Linked DNA regions of Drosophila melanogaster. The protein of the gene in region 1 purifies or fractionates together with the protein of each later gene. This does not show direct contact. Each region holds a gene or a part of one and is shown in the gene's direction. Other genes may lie near its edges.

Region 1 (3,516 bases):
CGTTCTTCATGTCCGCCACCATCTTGTCGTACTTGTAGTCCAGGCAGGTGGTGTTCGATTCCTTCAATAGCATATCGTTGACCAGGCCCAAACGGGTCACAGGTGGACCAGCCGTGGTGTTTAGCATGACATCGCAGATCTATGGAGTTCAAACATTCTTAGTATGGACTTGATAGGGATCAAAGTGAGGATGAAACACACGTCGTCAATGGTGATGGTGGCATGGGGACTGTTGTCCTTGTTGTATTGCACCACTCCAGCAAAGTTGCCAGCCAGATTCTCAAAGAAATTGGCCATGTCCAGGTCGTTTTCAATGGAGTCCTTGATGGGAGTGCATGTTCTGAGTATAAAATGGTTTACAAAATTAAAATTTGTGCAGGACGATAGCCTAATCCACTCACTTGAACTTCTCGTCCAGGCTGCGTTGTCCAATCATGTGCTTGAGTAGAATCTCCACTTGCGCAAAGCTGCGGGTCACGGCGTCCACGCATTCGGGCTTGTAGGCAGCTAGAGAGGCTTTGACCACCTCGAAATACTCCTTGAAGTCAACCTCAGCCAGCAGAGGACCACTGGAGCTAATTGAACCGTAGATGAGCTCGGGATACTTCTCGCGTGCCCAGGCGGCCAGCGATCCCGGATAGGAGCCACCGAAAGCGATCCATTTCTGGCCATCGCCCAGATTGAACTTAACCTTCATGGCGGTTACAAAGCTGGCCAAGTCCTCCAGAGCCTGCTCCGAGCTGAGATAGTGCAGATTTTCGGTGGACAGATCAGCGGTGGGATGGCTCTTGCCATAGAAACGATGCTCCAACTGCAGACACAGCGCTCCAAAGTGCTCGGCATAGTGCACCCAGGCTCCTTCGCGCATCCACTTGGCCGACGCCTCGCCCTCGCCACCGATCATCAGGAATACGGGTGCGGAGCTGTCATTCCGATAGAAGTCGGCATTCACAAAGTATCGCTGCTGCCAGGTGCGCTTATCGCTCGACTTGAAGTGATCCAATCGCTGCTCGAACCACAGATCCTCCGAGTGCAGGCTCCTTTGCAGGGTTGGAATCTTGCTGGGCTCCCCGAGGAATCCCTTGGTCAGCCTTCCGCGTCGAAATCCCATTCCGGAAATGGGCGCAAGCAGTCCCAGGAGCAGAAGACCCACTCCCAAGGGCCTCAAAACGCCCCCAATGAAAAGCATATTTGCTTCCTTTGTTTGTTCGGGTCAAGTAGAATTTGCCAGTAATTGAAGTATTTAATTAGTTGGAACCTCGCACAGTGCCTAACTGTAAATAGCGACTGAAGGAGAGTGGTGTGTTCTATTTATATAGGCACCGTTATGTGTGTCGCACTCTCCTGATTATTCAGTTCTCGCTGTATTATCTATATTCGCAAAGCCGGCAAAGCAAAACTAAAACAGTAGGGGCATTCATAGTTATTGATTTCAATCATTAATTGAATTAATTTAATTTTAAGCAGAGAAAGATTTCTGTATGCTGTAAGTGTTCTGGTAACTTTACAAAACTTAATTTAGCTTTTTATTTATTTATATTATTTCCTAGCTAGATATTATCGATGAGCTTAATAGCACCGTAAATGTGAACGTGTTTTGCAAAATTTTTGTCAAGTAATTAAGAAAAGTATACATTCTTGCATGCTTTGATAATTTCCATCTGCGTGTAATTTTAAATTCTCACTGAACTAATTTAATGGAAGTTTCCTGAATTTCAAATGCTTTAGGTAGCTTTAATAAACAACATATAGTTTATTTGAATTATTCCATATATTAGGTAAATATTATTGTGGAGTTTCACTGTGCCGTTAATGCGAAAGCTTAATAAATGTATTTGTCAAAAATTTTAGGAAATTGTGCATGTGTATGCGTTGTTTTTATATTTTTCATCTGTATAGTCAGTTATAAGTAGCCAAATTTAGTAACTAGATTTTGTAGCTAAGTATGGCAGCACTGTTGCTGTGGTAGCATCTCTTTGTATTCTGAAAACGGTAACACTAATTGCGCGACAATTTGGATTGTTTACGTTTTTATCCAGTTTAATTGTAATATAATTTAAAAAAAATATTGTTGTTAACTGTCATAATGGACTTCAATAGCCTAGCCTACGATCAGAAGTTCTTCAATTTCACAGCGGCACAGTTGTCTGCAGAGCGTGAGTGCTACATCCTTATATCTCTGGATCAGCGTCCTTTATCCATTAATTCCTTTTAAATAGGCGAACATATTGTGCAGGACATAATTAAGAAGGGTATTGGTCAGATCATCGACAAGATCAAGACACCCGCCACAGCGGAATTGCTGGAAGCCGAGAAGGAGACCGTTGAGCGTCGTTTCCAGGCATCCGCCTCCAAGGGCCTAAAAGCCCTCAGGGAACTGGACAGCAAAGTGTTCCACGTTCCACCGCATGTGCTGCATCCGGAGCACATGTTCGTCGAGAATCAGTATACCAGCGAAGAGGAGGAGCAGAAGACAGCCAGGTTGGAGGAGCTGAAGGCCAAATACAGAGAGGTAACTTGTAGAACCAATGGAAACTATCTTGTATGCCTCATTTTAATCATTATAATGGGGAAAAGGATGCTTTATTTTATGTTTTAATAATGCTAAATCACATCAATTTCAGAACATGGCCATGCTGGCGCATTTGAAGATCGAGGAGGAGAAGTACGCCGCCATGGAGGATCTCATCCAGAAGGAGATCGAAATGCAGGATCGCGTGCAGCGAAGCTGCTCCTCCCTCAACATCACCAAGCTGAAGCAATTCTGGAATCAAGTGCCCCTGCAGATAAAGAAGGAGACTGATTAAATAAACTAACTGGATCAAGTTTTTTAATCTACATTTCCAATATCTTCTTTCGAAACTAGTTTTAACCCTGGAGTCATTTATAATCACTAAGACTCTTCTATATTCCACTTTACCTATTATTATGTCGTTAACTTAGTTTTAAACTTAAAATTAAATTAAATTAAAATTATTATGAATCCGAAACACCTAGATGATTACTTACTAGTTTTAAACCAATTTACCTTAGCATTATATTAGTTCCTTTGACAACAGCGGCAACCAAGCAACGGTCGCTGTTTAAATTTTCCAACTGCCTTGTTTTCAAACAGAAAACAAGCCGGTTAAAAAGTTTCAAGCACAGAACAGACACAAAAACCCCCTTATATGTTACATTTCGAATCGTATATTTTGCTATAAGCCTGGAAAAATGGGAGACTCGCACGATGTCTGCAGGCAGCTGCTGCCGCGCGCAATCTTCGGCATCAATGGCAAGGTGGAGAATGGAGTGCGCCAGCATCCGGTCACGGGATCCATCATCTTTGCGCTGGGCAACAAAATCGGCATCGCCGACTACAAGAAGAATACGCAGGAGTTTGTGGCCGGACACACGAACACCATATCGTGCCTGGATCTCAGCAAGAGTGGCAAATACATGGCCTCCGGTCAGATCAATCACATGGGCTTCCGCGGCTATGTGATCATCTGGAATTACGATCAGCGCAAGGAGATC
Region 2 (3,754 bases), about 14 Mb from region 1:
AGACTGCAGCTTGGCCGTCACCCCCACGTGGTTCACCTTGATCAGGTTGGACTTGGAGGTGGCGCAATGGGGATCGGTTGATTCCGACATAGTGACTTTATGTTCTAAACTTATGACGTGCCGCTTCAAAGCCAACTGACGTCTTTTTCGTACATATGATCTGAATTCAAGTTAGGCGTGCCAAAAAGTTAACTTATAAGCTTTTTACCACAGAAGAGAACATATACTCTTTGGCCTAGAGACAAGAATATATAATTTAATATAAAAATGTATTTTTATTATTATTGGCTTATGTCTGTGCTATAAAACTTTTCATTTCCGGTTTGAGCCACCACTACGTTTGCAGGTATGTTTCGGTATATTTCCGGTAGATGGTGTACCCGTCAGTGGTTTCCCTTACCGGCCCCCAAACGGTCACACTCGCCCGAGCATAGCAGATTTGGAGAAAAAAACAACTGTAATTAGGAGCCATAATTAATTCATTTCGAATCGCACACGCTTTTCAGTTTATCTAGCCGAAAGTACAGAATGTTGGCCTCCGCCTGGCGCAGCGTGGCCACCTCCGTGGAGACCCAGTTGACGGCCACCTACTTCCGAGGTTCGTCCAGCAATCCGACACTGCTCCTGCGTTCCTGGCGGACGATTCCTCGAGCGGATGCCCCTGGTTTCGGAGCGATTCGGCGGCGTTTTCTGGCTGTGCCCGTCATCTGTCCAAGTCTCGTCAAGCGTAATCTATCCGTACATACGTGTTTAATCTAATCTCTCCCGGTGCTGCAATTTCATTTCCCAGTATCTACGCTTTTTGTTCGTCCGTAGCTAGTCAGTCTGTTTATCTGTTGGCCATCTATGTAGCTAAATGTGAAACCATCGCTTCGTTTCAGTGCAAAAACTACGAAAAGTCGGCTTCAGAGGCATGCACAGCACATTGGAGGACGTGCAGCTGGAGGGCATGGAGATCAAGATCCTGCCGGCCCTGCAGGATAACTATATGTATCTGATTGTAGACACGAAGACGCGCGAGGCGGCCGTGGTGGATCCCGTGGAGCCGGAGCTGGTCATTAAGACGGTGCAGGAGCAGCAGCTGACCCTCAGCAAGGTGCTGACCACGCACCATCACTGGGACCACGCCGGTGGCAATGAAAAGCTGCTCAAGCTGTGGGAGAAGGAGCTGGACGTGTATGGCGGCGATGACCGCATCGGGGCATTGAACAAAAAGGTTCAGCAGGACGACACCTTCACCATTGGTGGTCTGCATGTCAAGTGCTTGTCCACGCCGTGCCACACTACCGGCCACATCTGCTACCACATCACCGCGCAGCAGGGCAGCGGCGAGGGAGCCGTCTTCACCGGCGACACCCTCTTCCAGGGCGGATGCGGCCGCTTCTTCGAGGGCACTCCCGAGGAAATGTACGAGGCGCTGTGCACAAAGCTCTCCGCCTTGCCGGACGCCACAAAGGTGTTCTGTGGCCACGAGTACACGCTGCAGAACATGAGCTTCGCCCGTCACGTCGAGCCCGACAACGAGGTCATCCAGCAGAGGATCGAGTGGGCCAAGCACCGGCGCGCCTCCCAGGATCCCACTGTGCCCTCCACCATTGGCGAGGAGAAGTCCTGGAACCCCTTTATGCGCGTTCACGAAGCCACCGTGCAGAAGCACGCTGGCGGAGCCACCGATCCCGTCGTCACCATGGGCAAGCTGCGCAAGGAAAAGGACACCTTCAAAGCCTGATCTATTTCCTCGAAAGTTTCGAAACTTGTGATTTAATATTGGATTTTAATGGTTAATAAAATTAACGATGTGTGTGAAGTGCGGACAATGGATTTTTAATTATTCGCAATTTATCGGATTAAAACTTTTTTTGTTTTATTCAAATTATGACATAAATTTATTTCTTCAGCTTTATTTAAAAGAATTTATTTTTGGTATTTTGGTCTAGCAACACCCTAGAGAAGAGGGTACTGGTTGATTCCAACTTTATTCATAGAGCAATGAACTTAACAAATTTTTTAAATCCAAAGATTTTAGCAAATTTCGTAAAATTTGAATCACAACGGTTTTGGTTAGGCGTTAGTGCCTTTTGGGCATATCAAAAATACTTTTGGTATTTCTAGCGATCTATCGCCAACGATCTGGCAACACCGTCTGCCATTAACACAAAAATCGCGGCGTCTCTCCAATGGGATTTTGAAATAAAAACAAGTTAACAGCACGGCGCGATGAACGCAAACAAACGCAGAAGTTCGGTGGGTTCTTCGAAAATTAATTGATTGAGAAGCGCTCATGGTAGACCTACTCTTCTTGCAGCTGCGTAAGGTGCCGACCAAGGAAGATGAGGCGACCACAACAACGTCCGCGATCAAACAACAAATCAAGCGACGCATCAGTTTCAGTGGCAAGAAGTCCGTGAGGTACGTACAGTAGATATATGCGATGTACAACGCTCACCCGCCCTCCACATAGGGAATTCGTAAACACCAAGGAGACCAACAACTGGGACGACTCGTACGAGGTGTCGGAACACCATGCTGAGGACAGCTCGGGATCGAAGTGCTGCAGCACAGGATCAGCATCAGTAGCGAGGGTTTCCGAACATGCCGACAAGGAGAACATTCCCCTGCCCAGCCACTGCGAGCGGGAACATGTCGATCTGTCCGTGAATCTGCAGGCCAGCGTGGATTTCACCCTGCTGCCCTGCGAAATGATGGACAAATCGAGGAAGACATCCTCAATCTCTGCTGTGTCCTTTTGCATGACCTCCGAGGAGCGAAAACTGTTGCAAAGCAGTCTCAGCGACCGCCAGCTGGTAGACAAGACCATGGATCTGATATCCGGATCTCTCGTCAACCGCCACCAAATCGCGTCGAGCGTTTGTGAGGAATCCTCCATCAAAGTGGCAACAAACAAACTGGAGAAGGTGGTATTCACGCCAGCTGTCAAGGCTGTGAGTGACTCCTTCATGGACATCACGCCATTGGGATTTACTGATCCCAATCCTGCTGCTCCCGCTCCAGCTCCAGTTGCAACTCTATATCCTCCAACTCAACAAAGTTTAATGGAGCTCGAAGAGGACAGCATTGTAAGGGAGATGCGTGAGTCCACCAAAAACCAGACAAAAACTCCGGCGCAGAAATCGCTTTTCATGGACGTGGGGGAGACCAAGAATAAAACCCAACAGGGAGCTGGAGGTGCATCCTTCTCATTAAATGGTTAGTATTATCTCAGTTAAATCCCTTCCCAATAGTTTCTAATTAGCAAGTTTTCGGTTGTCACATTATTTTGCAGTTTCCAATAACCGAGATCGTTCGCCATCGAACTCCTTTGAGAGCCTTAATAGCACCATGAACTTTACGAGAGATGAGTCGATGCTGATACCATTCGACATGATTTCGGGGAAAAACATAAGCAAGAAACTCAATTTTCGTCAACTCAACGAAGACCTGGAGACGGGTAAGATCCAGATATTTCCGAACGGGCCAAAAACGCCGACCACGGATCGTAAGGCCAAGAAAAATCGGTTTTGGTGCGGCCTTGAAGAGGAGAGCGCGGGAGATAATAGTCCAAAGAAAGATATAAGAAGCATAGTGCCACGAGGAATGTTAAATTTCAGTGAGAACATGACCTTGACGCCGACGAAAACAAGTCCAGTTGGAAAGAACAAGGAGAAACTAAAGGCGGCGGATGAGAAGCAGAAGTATCGACTATCCCAGGCGGATGAGATGATGCTTGACAATACAAACTTCTTGGCCCACGCCA

The links. The genes of interacting proteins can lie anywhere in the genome.
Region 2: the proteins of Mis12 (region 1) and Spc105R purify together in Drosophila melanogaster (affinity purification with mass spectrometry; 2 studies listed by BioGRID, with this or other methods). This does not show direct contact.

What each region holds. Positions count from the first base shown.
Region 1 is NT_037436.4:6,967,505-6,971,020, reverse strand, and holds Mis12 (Mis12), read left to right. Parts: upstream 1-1,972; 5' UTR 1,973-2,086; coding exon 2,087-2,156; intron 2,157-2,219; coding exon 2,220-2,512; intron 2,513-2,624; coding exon 2,625-2,807; 3' UTR 2,808-2,986; downstream 2,987-3,516. Other genes in the region: CG9953 (uncharacterized protein), read right to left, coding at 1-139, 202-340, 402-1,189; CG10064 (uncharacterized protein), read left to right, coding at 3,214-3,516.
Region 2 is NT_037436.4:20,798,262-20,802,015, forward strand, and holds the start of Spc105R (Spc105-related), read left to right. Parts: upstream 1-2,148; 5' UTR 2,149-2,217; coding exon 2,218-2,244; exon of another isoform or gene 2,245-2,281; coding exon of another isoform or gene 2,282-2,305; coding exon 2,306-2,409; intron 2,410-2,461; coding exon 2,462-3,207; intron 3,208-3,283; coding exon 3,284-3,754. Other genes in the region: CG3698 (uncharacterized protein), read right to left, coding at 1-90; tzn (tenzing norgay), read left to right, coding at 529-727, 882-1,729.